5 linked regions of the Rattus norvegicus genome follow. The protein of the gene in region 5 binds, or shares a complex with, the protein of the main gene of each other region. Links are inferred from orthologs where the notes say so. Each region holds a gene or a part of one and is shown on either strand. Other genes may lie near its edges. The genes, in order: Bet1l, Vti1b, Stx18, Bnip1 and Stx5.

Evidence for each region.
Region 1: Stx5 (region 5) and Bet1l share a complex: the UniProt entries of both Homo sapiens proteins name them as parts of the SNARE complex. The link is inferred for Rattus norvegicus from reciprocal best matches to the Homo sapiens genes STX5 and BET1L.
Region 2: Stx5 (region 5) and Vti1b share a complex: the UniProt entries of both Homo sapiens proteins name them as parts of the SNARE complex. The link is inferred for Rattus norvegicus from reciprocal best matches to the Homo sapiens genes STX5 and VTI1B.
Region 3: Stx5 (region 5) and Stx18 share a complex: the UniProt entries of both Homo sapiens proteins name them as parts of the SNARE complex. The link is inferred for Rattus norvegicus from reciprocal best matches to the Homo sapiens genes STX5 and STX18.
Region 4: Stx5 (region 5) and Bnip1 share a complex: the UniProt entries of both Homo sapiens proteins name them as parts of the SNARE complex. The link is inferred for Rattus norvegicus from reciprocal best matches to the Homo sapiens genes STX5 and BNIP1.

The regions. Positions count from the first base shown.
Region 1 is NC_086019.1:205,361,893-205,365,939, forward strand, and holds the start of Bet1l (BET1-like protein), read right to left. Parts: upstream 2,815-4,047; 5' UTR 2,656-2,814; intron 2,011-2,655; 5' UTR 1,901-2,010; coding exon 1,882-1,900; intron 833-1,881; coding exon 741-832; intron 517-740; coding exon 460-516; intron 319-459; coding exon 151-318; 3' UTR 1-150. Other genes in the region: Ric8a (synembryn-A), read left to right, coding at 3,135-3,218, 3,507-3,554, 3,644-4,047. UniProt on the Homo sapiens protein: Vesicle SNARE required for targeting and fusion of retrograde transport vesicles with the Golgi complex. Required for the integrity of the Golgi complex.
Region 2 is NC_086024.1:103,695,630-103,699,496, reverse strand, and holds the end of Vti1b (vesicle transport through interaction with t-SNAREs homolog 1B), read left to right. Parts: intron 1-2,164; coding exon 2,165-2,338; intron 2,339-3,261; coding exon 3,262-3,327; 3' UTR 3,328-3,362; downstream 3,363-3,867. UniProt on the Homo sapiens protein: V-SNARE that mediates vesicle transport pathways through interactions with t-SNAREs on the target membrane. These interactions are proposed to mediate aspects of the specificity of vesicle trafficking and to promote fusion of the lipid bilayers.
Region 3 is NC_086032.1:76,970,921-76,975,234, forward strand, and holds the start of Stx18 (syntaxin-18), read right to left. Parts: upstream 2,807-4,314; 5' UTR 2,793-2,806; coding exon 2,625-2,792; intron 1-2,624. UniProt on the Homo sapiens protein: Syntaxin that may be involved in targeting and fusion of Golgi-derived retrograde transport vesicles with the ER.
Region 4 is NC_086028.1:16,890,809-16,893,567, reverse strand, and holds the end of Bnip1 (vesicle transport protein SEC20), read left to right. Parts: intron 1-539; coding exon 540-658; intron 659-1,646; coding exon 1,647-1,843; 3' UTR 1,844-2,251; downstream 2,252-2,759. UniProt on the Homo sapiens protein: As part of a SNARE complex may be involved in endoplasmic reticulum membranes fusion and be required for the maintenance of endoplasmic reticulum organization. Also plays a role in apoptosis.
Region 5 is NC_086019.1:215,065,348-215,069,336, reverse strand, and holds the start of Stx5 (syntaxin-5), read right to left. Parts: upstream 2,806-3,989; 5' UTR 2,688-2,805; intron 2,565-2,687; exon of another isoform or gene 2,021-2,564; 5' UTR 2,002-2,020; coding exon 1,777-2,001; intron 1,410-1,776; coding exon 1,339-1,409; intron 1,226-1,338; coding exon 1,170-1,225; intron 966-1,169; coding exon 895-965; intron 1-894. Other genes in the region: Tex54 (testis-expressed protein 54), read right to left, coding at 3,131-3,312, 3,429-3,501; Wdr74 (WD repeat-containing protein 74), read right to left, coding at 3,694-3,870. UniProt on the Homo sapiens protein: Mediates endoplasmic reticulum to Golgi transport.

The sequences.
Region 1 (4,047 bases), about 9.7 Mb from region 5:
TTACGACAGAGGCAGCCGCAGTCGTCCTGACTTAGGAAGACGAATGACCCGTGATGATAATTTCAAAGGAATATTGTTTCTGTAGTCAGGTCCTTAGGAAGCCAGGATACCAGGTGGACAAGAGTCTGGCTGCCCTTGGCTCCCACTGGCTCACGTCCTTGTCCTCGACAAGAGGTAGGAGAGGATGAAGAAGGCCACAATTAAGACCACAGCCATACCACACAGAAGCTTCCGGTTGTCTCGCCCAGACCGTGCCACCGTGGAAAAGCGCTTCACACTCCCTGTGAGTAGGCCAGTCACACTTGTGAAATCTGAGTCCTGCGGGAGAGACCCAACGGGATCACATAGAGCTGGGATCTGTGACGGCCCAACTGTACTAGCGCTGAAGGGTTAGAGGCAGAAGAGCAGGCGGCATGGGGGTAGAGCTGACTATGATTTGTACGTAATACAGGCACTTACCATGCCATCTAGGTATCGGTTCTGGTCTTCCGTGTCCCTGTCGATGTCCAAAGCCAGCTGGTTGGGATACAGAAGGCACAGTCAAGCAAGGACACAGAGTGCAGTGCCCATCTTCCCTTCAGATTCTGCTAGGTACCTATTACTAGAAAAAGCTAAAAAGGCCAAGGTATTACCTGAAGCATTCCTCAGTCAGCACACCCACGGACAGCATGGCTTCCTTTCTACCCACTCAGCCCCACTCACCAAAGTGTCTCATGGAAGGGAAAAGGGCCACCACTAACCGATTTAAGCCTGGTGACCTTAGAGGCCAGGCTGTCAGCCATCCGCTTGTTCTCTCTGTCTAGAATCTCCTCCACAGCACCAGAACTCTGAGCTGCAAGACAAAGAGGCTGAAGGGTAGAATTCACTCATAAATGTGGTCCTTGGCTCCTTGCTCCAGTGGAGCCTGGCCTGGTGAGACCTCTAAGGGCATTCCACCCATATCCTTCTGCTCACTTAGCATGTTCCACCCTATGTTCCAACAGGTAGACCACCTACACACCAGACAGGAAGCATGGGTCATGGGAGTACTTGTGTGCAATGCCCAGGCAGAGACAGGGAACCAGCAGGTCAATCTACACTACCCTGTTGTATACTGTTCCTGGACCAAAATGAATATTGCCTTAGCTGAAATCACCATCTGAGAGTATGGGACAGGTCTCAATCTGGTAGGGATTATAGGGAAAACAGAACAGAACAACAAAGCAGGTGACAGGAAGGCTGTGTGGGGATGACTTAGGAATCAAGTCCAAGGTAAGTGTAAGAAAGGCCTTTTACTGTAGAAACTACCAATCCCTACTGCTACAACCCACACAGGATCTCTAGAAGCCCCAGAGCACTCTCCTGTGGAAACCTTACTCCGACGGACAGAGACTAGACATGAAGAATTTCTGTCACGGTATGTAGTTGAGAATCACCTGCCTAAGTGTGACTGGCACTGGTCTGAAGCATAAAAATCCAGCCTCGATATGACCCACCTAAGGGGAAAGCCAGCAGCACCAGCAAACAGGGGCGACCAGACTCTAAAAGACAGACGGCTGTGTCCTACCAACCACTACATAGTTAGTATAGTAGAAGCCTCAGTATCACAACTGTCAGACTGAACACAGGCACGGGGGCGGAGGGTGTGTGTGAAACGAGGCACTTGAGCCCTGTAAGTCCCTGCTTGGACCTTCTGCTTCCAGCCCTTGGCATCAACCATACACACAAACTGATGTCATGCCGGCTTGGGTTCCAAGGCAGTGCCAGTTGAAATCTGGCCCTGTTTTTCCTGGAATACGTAAGCGCCATCCCACGCAGATCCCTCCACCGAGGAAAAATTGATGGCTCGTACTCCAGACTTAGACCTTGCCTCCTATCCCAACTACCTTCAGGTGCGCTCACCTCGAGTCCAATCTGCCATCGCGCCTTCCGAGGTCCCACTCGGGGAGTAGGCAACACAGCGACGGACGTGGCACCACTACCTGGGTCTTCCGGTTCCGCCTCAGGTCTAATAACTTCCGGGAGAAGAGTCTGAAGCGGAAGAAACAGACTTGTAGTTCTACACTGGAATGTAAATAAGGGAAGGGCGGGCCGCCAGCATTCGGGCCTACGGATTGGTCAGCAGTATTAGTCCCGCGCTGTGGGTATTACCCGGAGCAGGAGCTCAGACCCCAACCTGGAGCCGAGGGTCGGGTACCTCGGGCGCTGCAAAGTCCCCAAGTGAGAACGACAGGATGGGGAGGACGAGCAGAAGCGAAAGAGACTGGCAAAGGACCTGACACTGAGTAGAGGCAAGCGCCGGTTAGCACAGCGGGCGGCATTATCCTCTGGAACATTGCTTGTGTCACCGTGGGGTGCACCGACTCTGCCTTAAGCTAAGTGGCATGCAGACCTGGCTCCCCACTATACAACGTTCCTACGCTTCTAACCCCAGACACGCCGCGGCTAGCCGCCCCTCCGTTGCTCCTCCCGCGGGAGTCGCTTTTCCACCGGTGTTCTTCACTTCCTTCTCTCCGATCCTTCCTCATACACTCTGCAATTGCCCTTTTCTTTTGATAACCACATTATTTTGGTGGTTTGGTTTTTTGATTGTTTTTAGATAGGTCTGCCCGTTTCTGCCTCTCGAGTGCTGAAATTTAAAAAAGCGTGCGTTACTATGCCCGGCTAACCACGTACATTATTTTGACCATCCAAGTCGTACTTCTCTTTCCTTATTTCCCGTGGAAGATGAGCATCAGGAAGATGACCGCGAGAATCGTCTTCCCCAACTGACTAAGCGGCCAGGAGCCGGCGCTCCCTCTTTTATCACAGTACGGGAACAAGAGTGTAAGGAGAAAGGTTTACGCGCCGGCCAAGCCACACCCCACTCCCCACCCCCGCCCGCCAGGAAGTCGGGCTAGAGAGAAGGGCTCAAAAGGAGGATACTGCTTAGTTAGCTAGCATCGCTGCTCCAAGACAAGCCGCTCAGCGGCCACAGCCGGGTTGCTCCACCTTAAGCCGGAGGCCAGCCCCGCGCCTGTACACACCCTAGGCTCGGCTGTTCTCCCAGCATTCCTCACGCGTGGACGCTGGGCTTCCGGACCTGGGCGGAGTCCCCGGGTTTGGCCGATTGCGTCTTCCCAGCCCAAGTCTTCTAGCACCCCGTGCCAGGGGCCATGGAGCCCCGGGCAGTTGCGGATGCCTTGGAGACGGGAGAGGAAGATGCGGTGACAGAAGCTCTGCGGTCGTTTAACCGAGAGGTGAGAGGCATCCAGCTGCCGAGGAAATTGCAGGAAGTGAGGAAGCAGCCGGTTGCTCGCCACTCGGCTGGGGTGTGCGTGCGAGTGTGGCAGGGAGCAGGGCGGTGGGTGGTGGGCTGGGCCACGGCGGTGCCTCTGTGGTAGTCAGGTGTATGGGTGGCGAGGGTGGGCCTTGCTTTACGTACACAGCGATGGCTGCTGCTTCAGAGGTAGAAGCAGACCTGCTGCTTCTCGAGGAGCACAGGTCCTACCTGCGTGTGGAACTGAGCTTCCTGGGTCTCCCTGCAGCATTCCCAGAGCTTCACCTTCGATGATGCACAGCAGGAGGACAGGAAGGTAGGTGTCAGCCCAAGGGGGTTCCTAGGGCAAGCACGGGCTGCCCCAAGAAGAGGGCCTAGTGGAACCATTTTTGTCCCTTCCCACAGAGACTCGCAAAGCTGCTGGTCTCCGTACTGGAGCAGGGCTTGTCACCAAAACACCGTGTCACCTGGCTGCAGACTATCCGAATCCTATCCCGAGACCGCAGCTGCCTGGACTCATTTGCTAGCCGCCAGAGTTTACACGCACTAGCCTGCTATGCCGACATTGCCATCTCAGAGGAGCCCATCCCACAGCCCCCAGACATGGATGTCCTCCTCGAGTCTCTCAAATGCCTGTGTAATCTTGTGCTCAGCAGTCCTACAGCACAGATGCTAGCAGCAGAGGCTCGACTGGTGGTGAGGCTAGCGGAACGTGTGGGACTGTACCGCAAAAGGAGCTATCCCCACGAAGTCCAGTTCTTTGACTTAAGGCTCCTTTTCCTGCTAACAGCCCTTCGCACTGATGTGCG
Region 2 (3,867 bases), on a different chromosome or scaffold from region 5:
ACTATTGATCCCCTGAACCTGGAGTTCCAGATGGTTGTGAGCCAGTGTGTGGGTGCTGGGAATTAAACCCAGGGTCTCTGGAAGACAACCAGGACTAATCACTGAGCCATTGCTCCAGCCCTCCTTTATTACATTATTTATTTTGTATGTGCATATATATATATATATATATATATATATATATATATATATATATGCATAAGCACATGTGTTGAAGTCAAAGGACCACATGCAGGAGTCCCCATAACTGAACTCAGGTCTTCAGACTTGGTACTGAGCCTTCTCATCAGCACCATTTTTGCTGGACTGAACCTCTCTATATGAACCAGGCTGGCCTCATAGCTAGAGCTGTCCTCCCACATCTGCCTCCTAGGTGTTAAGATTACAGACGAGGACCACATGCATGGGTTTATTTGACCCTTGGTGGTTTCTTTATTTACTGGTCTGTATAAACATTCTAAGAATCTAATTTAAGAAAAAAATTTTTTGAGAGTATATAGTTCTTGAACTCCCTAGTGTAGCTCAGGCTAGCCTTGAACTCACAAAAATCCTTTTGCCTCTGCCTCTCTGTGGGTGCTGGGATTAAACTTGTGCACCACCATCCCGGCCCAAGAGGCTAATTTATTTATTTTTTATTTATTTATTTATTTTTGGATGCAGGATTTCTCTATGTAGCCCTGACTATCCTGGAGCTCAGATCTGCCTGTCTCTGCCTCCTCAGTGCTTGGCTTCAGAATCTGATTGCTGATGAGATCTTCTGCCATTTGCCACCTGCTCTGTAGTAAATTCTGAGCTGAACCCCTGTCCATCACTACTCATTCTGGCCTGACCTGGGCCGATTTTGTTGTCATGCTGTGTTTAGAGAGAGAAAATTTCAGTGAAGAGTAAGAGTTCTTGGGAAGCTAGGGAAGCTCGAGTGAGGTCCAGACTCTCCCTTCCCTGTGAACAATCACCAGCATGGTGATAACTTGAGAGTGCTGTTGGGCATGAGCCACTCATGGCCATGGAAGTTTTTTTAAGAATGCACCAATGTCTCTAGTTCTTAATGACTTCTGAGCTGAGAAAGAATACGTTATTTATGGTCTCTACATCAGCACCAGCCAAGTGGGAACTTGAGTGAATTAGTTAGTTTCTAGTGTTTTGGAAGCTCGTTGTTTACTTGTGGCACTGTTGAAGTGTAAGGCAAGCCAGGCATGATGGCACACATTTACAGTCCCAGCACGTGGACATTGAGCCAGGACAGTCATGATGAGTTTGAATTCAACTTCAGTTACAGTGAGGCCGCCTTAAAAAACAAAAATGAATAAATGCTTAAGCAGAGAGTTTTAAAGTTACAAGCTAATTGCATTATTAGGTCATTTTTGCACACACTACTACCTTCTCACTCAGTCTGGATGCTGACTGAAGTTGCTAATAGCCAGTTACATGTTAATGGATTTTAACTGGTTCACAGGGGAAATGCTCCAATTCTTTTTCATTATTTTTTCAGAAGTCTTAAGGGAAGTGGAATCTGCCTGCTTTAATCCTGACCTTGAACAGGATCTTATTTTTCATTAGAATTTTTGATTCAATTTTAAAAGCACTCTTCAGTCAGCTTTGGATTGAAAATGTTTTGTTTTTTTTTTTTAATATTACATCTATCCAGGCATGGTAGCACCTAGCTTTTCATCCTAGCACGTGGAAGGCAGAGACAGATGGATCTCTGGGAGTTGAAGCCAGGCTGGTGTACATAGTAAGTTCTAGGTTAGCCAGAACTACACTGTAGGACCCTGTCTCAAAAAATTCCAATTCTGAAGGATCCGATACCCTCTTCTGGTACCCATAAAGCTTTACAAATGTTTTTATTTGCTGAACATCTTTTGATGTTCTTGCCATGATTCTCTTGAACAATAAATATACATAATATTTACCTTTTCTCAGGTATCAGTAATCTAATGATGATTTAATGTATTAGGAGGATATGTACATGTTATATGCAGACTACTATTTTACACATAGGACCTCAGCAGGAGTGCCCTAGAATCAGTGCCCTGCAGACAGAAAGGAAAAGCTAGGGAAATGATGGTTTACTGTATCCTTGTACATAAGAAGAAAGCCACAAGGAATAACTGACAATAAATTTATAACAGAAGTAGCTAACATTTTTCTTCCTTACTGCTATCAGAATCGGCTGCAGTCTCAAAGAGCATTACTTCTGCAAGGCACTGAAAGCCTGAACCGAGCCACCCAAAGCATTGAGCGTTCTCATCGGATTGCCGCAGAAACTGACCAAATTGGTTCAGAAATCATAGAAGAGTTGGGGGAGCAACGAGACCAGTTGGAACGTACCAAGAGTAGAGTAAGTCTGGGCAATGTGTAAAGTAGGGGGGTCCTCATACCCAGATACCACACTAAGGCCAGACACTACACCAGTTCTGACTTCTGGGAATAACAGCCCGCCTCCCCTTTTCACAAGTTTTAAATTCCTCAGCTGAAAGATTCCGCATTAGAAGTACTTGTACAGAGCTAAGGGAGATGGGTCTGTCAATAAAGATCAATACAGATGCTCATGGGTTTGGAACCCCAGAGTTTGGGGGTGAGGATTAGAAATAGTTGGATCTTTGGAATTTGTTGGCCAGCCAGTATTTTAAGAAATCCTTTCTTAATATGGTGGTGTAACTGGTCTTTTGCTATTTTGTGAGTTTTTCTTCTACCCTTTTCCACCCTTTCAACCCCCTAACACTAGATAGGAAAGAAAAAAGAAAAGAAAGGGGGTGATGTTATAGTTAGGCTACTTCCTGCTGATTAGGGGGATTGAGTTTCTTGTGGCAAGTTTGATCTTCATCAAGATATCTAATTTCTTCTCATCTCTTTGTGCATAACTTCTTGAGAAATCATGACCAGCAACCACCAACCAACAAAAGCCAACCCATCCTGCTTCTGGGGACTCTGAAAAGTCCCCAGAATTCCAAATATCTCACAATCACAGACTATCACACCCCTGCACAAAGCAATCAAAGTCAGCTGCTGTGAACAACCTGAAGTATCCCTATATCCCATACCTGGGACTAAAACAAAAGCATATTCCTATATTTCTGTGGGGTGTTTTTAAGATTTATTTTTATTTTATGTGCATTGCTGTTTTGACTACATATATTATAAGTCTGTGTTAGGGTATCAGATCCCCTGGAACTGGAATTATAGACCTTTTTAATGCCCATGTTCAAATTATATAAGTTTTTTTGAAAGGAAGAAGAAATGATCTGTTATTTTCTTTTTCAGCTGGTAAACACAAATGAAAACTTAAGCAAAAGCCGAAAGATTCTTCGCTCTATGTCCAGAAAGTAAGTTTCAAGAAACCCACAAATTCTTTTTTTTTTTCTTGGAGCTGAGGACCGAACCCAGGGCCTTGCACTTGCTAGGCAAGCGCTCTACCACTGAGCTAAATCCCCAACCCCCACAAATTCTTGATATTCAATATATTTCAACTAAGAAATATAGAGAGCTTAGACCAGTAACTTAACAAACACCCTGATAAATTACCTTAGTGCTACCCAAGCACTCCTCTAGGCATTCACCAACCGAAGGAGAAGATATTCTCTATTATATTATAGTTTATATAGTTAAATATCTGAGGATGAGGTCTTTGTTAAATTCATAGATTGTTCCAACATAAAGTAGTGGAAAACCTGTCTACTGACCAATGTCAATCCCAGTTTCTGTCTCTTAGAAGAGACCTAAGGAACTAAGAAGAGCTCTCTGCTCCCTGGAACATGTTTGTAAACACCTGACCTGTGAGCATGGATAGTACTTAGTTCTTGCCTTGCATGGCAGGCCCTTTTGGGACGTCCTGTCTTGTTAGCAAGAAGTATTTAAAAATAACAAAAA
Region 3 (4,314 bases), on a different chromosome or scaffold from region 5:
CTGTTCCGAAATCCCCTATTCCTAAGGACTGAAAATCTGTGCAGCATTAATAAACCACCCAGGGAAGAGCCTCCACACACCAAAACTGTGACGTCCACACACTGTGGTAACAGTTTGGCCAGACTCAGAAGAGAGCTATGATGACACCTTATTTTCCTGTCCTCTTACTTCAACCTGAGTCATGCCTCTTTCAACATAATACATGGTATGATAAGACATTTTATATATGACATATATGATAGACCCAATGGATGTTTAAAGTCTGTTTTGGATAAAGATGAACCATTTTATAGGTAAATAAACCTTGCTTAATAGCATGAATCTGGCTAATAGCTAACATGGTTAAGACAACAATGTGGTCTCCTGGGTCTTCTTCAGGGTTTTACTGTCTACATAATATTGGACTGTCTAGAGCAGTGGTTCTTAGCCTGTGTGTTGTGACCCCTTTTGTGGGGTTGAATGATCCTGTCACAGGGGTCACATTTAAATATCCTGAATATTAGATATTTACATTATAATTCATAGTAGTAGCAAAATTATATCTATGCAGTCTCAATGAAAATAATCTTATGATCGTTGGGGGCATGGTCACTACAACATGAGGACCTGTATTAAAGGGTCACAGTATTTGGAAAATTGAGAACCACTGGTCTAGAAGGCAAAGTTCAAATTCTGAAGAGTGATCTACAAGGTCCTTCTAGATTTCCCTCTGGGTACCATACCACTCTTTTTTTCTGAGTGTCTCACATTCTTACGTTAATCAAACCCAACTTAAGTTAAGCTGGTACTATCTCATGCCTTTGTGCACGTTGGTTTCTTTTTTTAAAAAAAAAAAAAGTATTTTCTTAATTCATTGGGAATTCCGTATGTGTTCTGATATTTACCACCATTCCCCTCTAACTCCTCTCAAATCCACTCCCACCTCTTTACCTCCCCTAACTTCATGCCCCCCCCCAGACTTTTTTCTTTAAAAGCCCATCAAGCCTAATTGCACTGTCCCTGTATTCCTGGGTGTGAGGGCATCCAGGAGTATGGCCAGTATGCTGTTGTTAACTTAGTTGTGATGCCCTTCCTGACCTTATCTGTAATGAAACCAACTACTCTTATTTTAGAATGGATATTTGATATCATTGTCCCATGAAGCCTTTCTCCCAAGCGGAACTAACTACTGTTTCCCTTGTGCCCTACAGAATACCCGCAGGAATCAAGGCAGGGGGTTTGTTTATATTTGTATCTCTCTAGCACTGAAACTTTGTAACTCAAGAATAGAATCCTGTTACTCTAAAACAATGATGGTCACAAGTTCAGTTCTAAGTAGATGCTTATTGTTGGAGGGAGGGGCATCATTTATCTGGTCCATACCTTCCATACCTTGAGTATTAAACAGTCATTCATTAACTTGTGCATATATATATATATATATAAAACAATATTCAAGTGTCATCTGGTATGGGGCCCATGCCTTTAATCTCAGCACTTGGGAGACAGAAACAGTCACCTTTCTGTGAGTTCAAGGCTAGCCTGGTCTACATGGAAAGACCCTGTCTCAAAAAGAGAAGTATCAAGCAATGGATTATGTGCCAAGCAGAGGTGAGCTTACTGGAAAACTAATTATACTTAAAGTTTAGGTTCCCTTGACTTGTACCTTTCAATGCTTTGGACCACTCTGTGTGTGTGTGTGTGTGTGTGTGTGTGTGTGTGTGTGTGTGTGTGTCTTTAAAAGAACAGACTGTATATGCCTCCTGGTGCAACAAAAATAACATTTACCCTTAGTGTCAAAGATACAAAGGGATATAATGCAAACAATCTCCTTTTGCAAACAATCTCCTTTTGCAAACAATCTCCTTTTCCCTGTTTAGTGGAAACAATATCTATTCATTTGTTTATCCATCCATCCATCCATCCATCCATCCATCCAAGGAATATTTACTAAGCAATGTTTTCAGTCACACATATAGAAATAATGTCAACATGTTCCTACCCTTATGGAGAAGGTTCCTATGTTGGGGGACACAAAAGCCGGTTGTGTCCAGAGAACAGAAAGCAGTTTAGAGGACAGTTACAACACTAGGTGTTGCTTAAGTGTTGCAGTTCTGAAGGAAAAAGCTTTTACCCTACACTGGTGATATCCTAAACCAGTTTCTGGAGGTACTGAGTTCTACCTATTCCTGGAGGCAAGGACAAAGGAGAGTTCTGCTGAGCGTAGATTTTTATTAAACCCTATGCACAAGAGGAGGTCCAAACACACACATGAAAGGGCAAGCGGAGAGAGTGGTGAGTTTTAATACAGGAAGCGTAAGACTGTGGGAACTCTTCCAAGGCACTCAAATCAGCAGCCACGGCGAACTCACTGCCTCTAAAAGTTAGCCTGAGTTCAAGGACATCCAAGAGCCTCTTCAAAACTTGCTTCCTTCAGTGCCCAGATATGCGTCCCTCTTCGTGAGAATAAACCTGTCGCCACCCCGAGCCAGCTGTTGGCTTCGTGAGACCGACTCTTCTGTCTTGCTAGAGACTCCCTCACTTCACCAAGAGCTAACGAGGCAGGGCCCAGTTAGGGGTGCAGGGTCCGCGGTTGCAGATCCGCCCCTGACTCCCACCAGTCGTTCCCATAGCAACCAGCTTACCACTTCACGGGCCCGGCTGGAGAAGTCTCCCTTGGGCCGAGGGCTTCTGCGGAACAGCTCGTCTCGGCTGCCATCGGCTCCACCACCCACGGCCACTCCAAGAGCCTTATTCCGCGTCTTCACTGTCTTGACGCTAGCCCTGAAGAGCAGTGTGATGTCCACCGCCATAGCGACCCGCGCCGCGGCCCGAAGCCGGTCGGCACACGTCAGCAGCAAGCGACCCCAGCAAGAGCTCGGTCGCTGAGGGACGTTCCGATTTCGCTTCCGCCTGGGAACTGTGAGCAGAAAAGGAAGGTTCCGCTCTCAGCCCGTGTACTGCGTCGAGTAGAGAAAGGTTCCGGCCTCGGCCCAGCGCAGGGAATCTCCGTTCCAGACAGCTACCCGCAGTGCATCAGCACCTCTTTCTCCTCACTGCAAACTTCAGCGGGGTCAGACGCTTGGAAGTTTCACAGGGTTTCTAAAACTGGGCTTCAGGAACGGAAGCATCAGGAAACTAGAAAGATCGCTCACGTATGATTCTTTAGAAGACAGGCGTGAGGTTTGGTTGACAGGTGGGGAGTGTTAACACCTTTGACCTATGTCGTCTAGGGATCCACTTAAGAAGCAATGAACTATGACCGTCTGGGTGCTTGTACTAGGAAAGGGTAAGTGTATAGAGGTAGAGTCCAGAGGGCTCTCTTCTTAAACCTTCAGCCAGTTCGGTAAAGTGAAGCTAGCACCTTCCTAGAATGCACAGAAAATTAAACAGAATGCGCATTCTCATGTTGTTTAACTCTTACTACGCAGCCCGTAAATGCTGCAGTTGATGATAATATTATTGTCCTCAGTCTTTTTTACTTATGGTGTAGAAGAGGCTTAGAGCAGAGATCCCTGAGCGGGGGGATATGGAGAGCAGGAAGTTATGAGAGCCAGAGAAAAGTGAAGCATACTGAGCTTGATGATAACTGTGTTATGTTCCTCCTAAATAAGTAGTTTTGAAAAGCGCTCTCTTGAGTCATAGTTATTATAGAGAAAGGAGGAAATTGAAAAGAAGAGAGTTACTTAACTTGACTAAAGTCAGCTAATAAAATTTTTCTGGACGCTTTGTTCATGGTTTATTTTATTTTGTGTACACCTTTAATTAAAAATACAATTATGCCACTTTCTCTCCTTCCCTTTTCTCTCTCCAGCCTCCAATCCTCTCCCTCTGATTTCTTCCATGTCTCCCAACTCAGTCTCAAATTTATAGCCTCTTCTTCCTTAATTGTAATTGTTGCATATATATGTAAGTATCCATGGCTATGCAAGCACAATCTGCTGAAACTGTTTATGTGTGTATGATTTCAGGGATTATCATTTCGTATTGGACAACCAATTAGAGGGATAGGCTAACTCTTCCTCTCTCAGCAGCCATAGTTGCCTGGAGTTTTCTTGTCCAGGAGTGTGACCCCCATGGTTTAGTCTTATTTCAGTATCAACTTTTCTGGATTTTGTTTTCCTTATAAAAGGAAGCACACTATGATGTGTGCTAAAATTGGGTTTTTAGCTGTCATGGAGATGAAAAGCGAGTTTTGTAATAATTCCAGGCTCATATTGGCCTTTACATCTGTGTGTTCTGATCAGCTGTGTGGCTGGGTTTCCCAGAGACACTGATCTAACAATAGGCTAAATGCAGGGCAGCTGTTTTCCATTAAGCCAGACTTAAAAGAGA
Region 4 (2,759 bases), on a different chromosome or scaffold from region 5:
CTTTTGAAGGAGTTTTCTGGGAGTGAACAGACATTTCCGAATCTTTGTGTACCTACTGCAAGTTGCTTTACAGACAGCAATGTGGTTTTCGTTCCCTAATGGGGCTCGAGAACGTGGGTTCAGTTTAGCCACACTGACTGATGTTTTAGAAATGTGCAAACCAGTTGGTAGTGGTGCAAACATTTAATCCCAGCACTTGGGAGGCAGAGACAAATTGATCTTTATGAGTTTGAGGCCAGCCTGGTCTACACAGAGAAACCATGTTTCAAAAAAACAAGAGAAGGAAGGAAGGAAGGACGGAAAGAAGGAAGGAAGGAAGGAAATAAACGTGTGCTTGCTGGCTGTGTTACAACACACCTGTCATCCGAGCACTTGGGGTTGACTGAGGTGAGGACATTCTGCCTTCTAGACTAGCCTGAGCTACACTTTGAGGTCCCATCTCAAGGCACAAACAGAAAAGCACTGATGTGATAGGTTAAAAATGGGGCATTTTGCAAGCTAGGCTTTTGTTGCTATTGCTCCTTCCTCTGGACTTGCAGGAAAACTACCAAAGAAAGTTTGGCCCAGACATCCAGCACCATCACAGAGAGTCTCATGGGGATCAGCAGGATGATGTCACAGCAGGTGCAGCAGAGTGAGGAGGCTATGCAGACTCTAGGTAAGGAGGAGGACGCTATTCCAGAGCACACACCCTGGCACCGCTGCAGTTCTCCGGCTCTCCCCACCCGAAGCTTCCCAAGTTGTCCTAGGAAATGGTGAGACATCCTGTGAGGGAGGCGTTATGTTCCTCTTCCTCCAGTTGTGCAGCTGTGCTAGACACGCTGCGCGCCATCAGTGCCTCCCAGAGGAAGCGTTGCTAGGCTCCTGTGAAAGCAGAACTGGCTGGCCTCTCTGGAGATGGTGTCAGCAGTGCTTGCAAGGGGTCCGGGAGTCTGGTTTGCAGCGTGGGCTCATGGGTCTAGTATTGCCAGGCACGTTTGGGAATTAGGGTCCTGGAAAGACCACTCCTGTGAGTTCCTTTCACATGGACCAGCCGGTGGCCAGGGAGAGGCTGTTGGACAGCACTGCATTCCTGCCAAGTGCCTTCTTGCCATGGCTCCTTGCAGAGACTGCCCCTCCAGGGCCTTTCAGTGTAGGAAACAGGAAGGAGGTGCTGTTCATGAGACTTCACATGTCAACCAAAGTAGACAACGAGGTTTGGTAACTTCTTGCTCTCACGGCTGTCACTCAGTCACCTTGTTTCATGTTTACCCTTAGTTCATCCCCTATCCCAGACATCATCCCGGAAAAAAGCTCAGCGCATCTAAAAGCTAATAGTAAGGGCGCTGGAGGGATGGCTCAATGCTTAAAAGCAGAAAGTGCTCCTGAAGAAAGCCCAAATTCAGTACCCAGCACCCATGTGTATAACTCTGTGGGCATCTGCACCCACGTGCATACACCCACACAGATACACACATAGTTAACGAGAATAAGAATGAAACACACACACACACACACACACACACACACACACACACACACACACACACACACACACACACACACAGAGCTCAGGCACTGGCCTTGCTGACAGCCAGCCAGCAGCTTCAGGTCTTTATTACCTGGGAGGTACAGTCTGATTCAGGCTCCTTCCTCTCCTGTTGTAGTCAGCTCTTCACGGACTCTCCTGGATGCAAACGAAGAGTTTAAGTCCATGTCAGGAACCATTCAGTTGGGCCGGAAGCTCATCACAAAATACAACCGCCGGGAACTAACGGACAAGCTTCTCATCTTCCTCGCCCTGGCCCTGTTCCTTGCCACGGTCCTCTATATTGTGAAAAAGCGCCTCTTCCCATTTTTGTAAGGGAGAGCTGCCGGCTTTGGCCCGTGCATTCCAGCGTCAGGACCCGGGGCTCTCAAGGACTGGCCGGGCTGCCAAACTGGCCTTCCCATCTGCCTCGGGTGCTCAGTGAATCAAGAGAGGGAAACACAGCAGCCCAGTTTCCTGCCAGGGGGCTTGGAAAGGGTGAGTAGAATAGAGGAGACCGGAACCTTCTGGACCAGGGCGCTCCACACTCACCCAGCTTCCAAGCACTGCGGCTGCCACATAGAACACGTCAACTCCCGGACTTACTGCACCTTTCGCCATGTCCAGAGGCATGAATGGTGAATGCTGGGTGTGGTGGAGGGAGGAGTGGTGAGGCCCGTGGGAGGGGAGGTGACGACAGCCCATGGCTGTTCCCTGAATAAACCTCATTTATTTAATAGAGTGATTACTGCTTAGTATTAGAAGCTATCTCTCTGGGATTGTGTACGCCTCCTCGTGTCCTGACCCCTCGGACATGAAGTTAGATTCCTCATTCACCAAGGAGGCACTGCAGCCAAGGGAGGGCTCAGAGGTTAAGAGCACTTGCTGCTCTTTCAAAAGCCAGGGTTCTGTTCCCAGCACCCACATGGTGGCTCACACCCACCTCTAACTCCAGCTCCAGGGGACCTGATGCCCTCTGTGGGCCCCAGGCAGGCACACGGTACATTCCTATATGTAAAGTAACTCTCGTGTGCATGCCGTGTTTAATTTGCTGAGGGCGACTGAGATGGCTCAGTTGTTAGAGGTTCTTGCCCATAAATCTGAGTCCCCTCTGTCCCAGCAGGGGAAGGAGAGAACCAGCGCCAGGAAGTTGTGCAGCTGTGGCGTGTGCTGCGTCCCTGCATACACACAAATAGAAAAAAGTTAAAGAAGCACAGAGCAGCTGCCACAGGCTAATTCTGAGACATCACCA
Region 5 (3,989 bases):
TGTTTGTTTGGGAAAATTTCTCTGCAACCCTGTCCTGGAACTTCACTATGTAGACCAGGTTGGCCTCAAACTCAGAGATCTGTATCGTGCCTTTGCTACTTTGTGGACCTCCTTTTCCCACTCTTCCTCACCCACCCCACAACATATACACACTCTGTGCTCCCCTATCAACTAAATAGGAGAGAAAGAAGGGGAAGAGAAAAGAGATAGAGGTCGGTGAATCTAGTTTCTTTCTTAGTTCTTCTTTGAGCATGACTACTAACTCCCCTTGAAATAACCACCAACCCTACCTCTTGGGGGTGAGGGGGCTTCTAGCATTTATATACCCTGTGAACAATTCCCAGAATTCCAAACATCACACAATCATAGACTATCTGCAGCTGGCCAAGTTCGAAGCAGCCCCACAGACCTACACCTGTGAATACAACAAAAACATTCTCCTCACTACAGAGGTCTGCCTGCCTCTGCTTCCTGAGGGCTGAGACTAAAGACATAGGCACCACCTGGTTGAACTGCTGCATATAGCCTCCCCAACCTACCTCCCAGCTCAGATTTCACATACTTGGTCAACCGTCCCAGAATCCTGCTTCATTCATCACTTTGTAAACCTTTTCTATGCTAACACCTACTCATTTTAAGCCAAGGCTTTTGATGCCAGGTAACTCGCAAGGAAAACGAGCCTTTGAAGACAATCATCTTGCTTCACAGTTCTCTCACCAGCATCTAGAACAGTGCTTTATAAACACTAGACGATCCTAAGTGTCTACTGACTCAATGGAGGAGCAGGGTGTTTGGACACGGGTCTAGATACTTACCCTGGGGATTCATGGCGATGGAAAATGATGGAAGTAATCTAATTAGAATGCTGGGCTCTCCTGATGGCTAGCGGCTCACCTGTTTGATGATGTATGTTAGTTCCTCAATTTCTACTGCTTTATCATCAAAGAGGGACTTGCGCTTTGCCACTGCAGAGACGGATGAAACATTACAACATGTGAGGGTAATAGCAAGGCTCACAGAGCTAGGATAGCAGTTCCGTAATAGAGACACTTGCCTTAAGGTAGAAATCCCCAGCACCGTAGGAAAAAATAAAACAAAACCTCCATGAGCCTCACCTCCTAGTACTATGTTTCACCGTCCCACCTAGGAAAGGCCTCCCAAACACTCACGGATTGTTAGCTTCTCCAGCTTGGCAAATGTATTGCTGAGATCTTTCCCAATGCGCCTGCAAATGATCATCAGTGAGAAAGTTGTGGACCAATTCCATTCAGCCAATCCCAGGCAGATCTACTTCTTAAAACACTGTGTCACCCCACCACAAAGCCCCTCTTAACTCACCTGGCCATGAGGGTAAACTCGCTGCACTGCCGGGTAGCGTGCAGAGCTGGTTTATTTGTTTGGATTCCATTCTGAAAAGGAGTATCAAAAAGTTGCTACTCTAATTCCCTTCGCTATTTATGCTCAGCTTTTCACTGCTCCCTCACATAAACCACTAAACACTCTAGTGCTGCTGGTGTCAGACAATCTAAATTTATCAGTGGTTTGTAGCTAAGAAAACAATTAGATGCAGGCTTGAATCCTACATTAGGATTAGGTTTGTGGTATTTAGGACAAGTTACTTAAAGTATTCTCAATTTCTCCTGAAGACAATTCTTCCTCTCCTATTGGTAAGATTCGACTACTTAAGAATTGTTAAGCAAGTTTAGACAACTAGCAAACAAAACCTAAGCATTAACTAAATGGGCTCACGCCGGTCTTTCCACTCCAGGTCCTTACCTGACGGCTCTGCAGCGACTTGCAGGCAGACAGGAACTCCTGGGTCCGATCCCGGCAGGACATAGTGTCGGGAGGGGAGGGGACCAGGGCCACCGGGGTGGGCAAAGGAGCGATGTCACTGCTGCTATTGATAGCAGTTGCAGGGGACAGAACCTGTGTCTTTGAGAGACCCAGGTAGACACCCTGATCCGTGTTCTTAGATCCGTAGCGTTTCCGCGGGATCATCGAGTCGCATAACCTCGGACTGTTGTGGAGAGGAGAATGTCATTCTCCAAACGGCCTGTTTCCCCAAACTTTACCCTCAACTAGCAAATCCTCAGTCCCTTTCCCGTATTTGACAGACTTTCGAGCCCAAGGCCACCCGCAGATCCTGCACCCGGGACACGGCGAGAATGGTCAGCTTCCTCCAGGCCCAAGGCGAAGCCTCCTCAGATTCTCCTTCCAACTTGGATGACTACAAGAACACCGGCCGGGAGCCCTAAAGTCGAGAAAACAGCCACAGCCTGGTCCTGCGGCCCTGAACTTCCAGCCAGACCTTTGCAGTTGGCCCAGGTCTTAATCGTGCCTTCTGGTATACGTGATTTCCTTCACCCTTTCATAGAAAACGGCAACGGACCTCCAGAGGTGGGCACACTCCAGAGGGCGGAGGGGGGGAAAAAAACCTCTTAAGTGTTTATTTGAAACAGGAAGTCCCACCTCCGTCAAAGTTCCGCCTGTTGGAAGACTACAGCCACTGATTGGACAGGGCCGAAGTTTTTCTCAACAAGACCTTTCCTGATTGGACACCGGGATATTCGCTTCGCGGAGCCGCCAGCAGGACTTGCCCCTGGCTCCCTTCCCCCCCAGTCAAGCTGCTGCCCCGAACTGAGCCGACCGACCGAGGCTGGACTCCTACTGGAGCGAAACCCTACCTCTTCTGTTGCCTACCGCCACCGCTACTCTCCTCAGGTCGTTGCCGCCTCCTCGCCGGACTTGTAAGCAGTGGAAGCCGGACCAAAGAACTGGAGCCGCCACGTCACCTACACGTACCCCTAACCCCGTGACGTGGCTACTGCGCCACGCCTCTTTTTTAGCCCAGTGACAGAAGGAACACACCCCTGCTCATGCAAACTCGACTCCGCTCTCTTATTGGTTAGACTGCCGCTGCGGCCCCGCCCCTAAAGAGCAGAACAGATCTCGAGGGGCTGGGCTACAGGAGCCTTAAAGACTCTGAGGCTGGGGGGTTGGGGATTTAGCTCAGTGGGTTCGGTCCCCAGCTCCGAAAAAAAAAAAAAAAAAGAAAAGTGTTTTCAGCAGATTCGCAATATTAACTTTATTCTCTGGATGTTGGGGAGGACTGAGACCAGGGTTGTAGTCAGCCCTTTTCTGGTTCCTTGTGGCTGCCCTCACGTTTGCGCTCCTGCATCTGATTGTCTTGCTTGCCTGACCGTGAAGACCCCCGACGGCTGAACATGGATAGCCTGCGCCACAGCACGGTGATCAGAAGACTTTCGTTAGATCTTTGTTTACGGCGGCCTAGGTTGTCCCCTTCGTTGCCTACAAGGACCACAGGATCCACTTAATTCAGTTCTGCTCCCTCCTCTGGGCAGTCCCTTTGGGGCACCTCCCACTCCCATTCCCGGTCTTGAGACCTTTTTTGTGTCTAGTCCTACCTTCCCTGCCTTCCTCTGTTACTTCTTCCCGTCCTTGCTCATCCGGATGGTCCTTGTCCTGACAGCAGCCCATGGCCCCGAAAGGCGCAGCACTCCTCCACCCTCCCCAGCCAGCTTAGCTCTGGGCCTAGCTTTTATGACGTCAGGTCTCCCGCGGCCAGGTGAGGGAACCCCTCCCACCTACAAGCTCTCCTTTTTCCCATCACAAAAGGTCCAGGATCTCAGTATGTGTTGGGCTGTTTATTAACAAAGTGAGCAAGGGGCTTCAAGGACTGGTGGATCCAGGACGCTTCTTTTTCTTCCTTCTTTGGAGAGCACCTTGTTTCTGGTCCAAATCAGGGAGCTTTCGCTTGGCAGCTGCCTCCAAAGACGCCCAAAGTTCATCTGTCTCTGTGTCTTCTGGGGGCACTAGGTTGGGCTCTTGAGGTTCTTGGGGCTCATCCTGATGATCAAGAAGGACATTCAGGAATCAGGGACAGGGAAACAGACTGGCTGAAAAATAATTCCTCTAGGTACCAAAAAACCAATGCCCTTGTGTTCTGAAGGACCTCACCCTTGGCA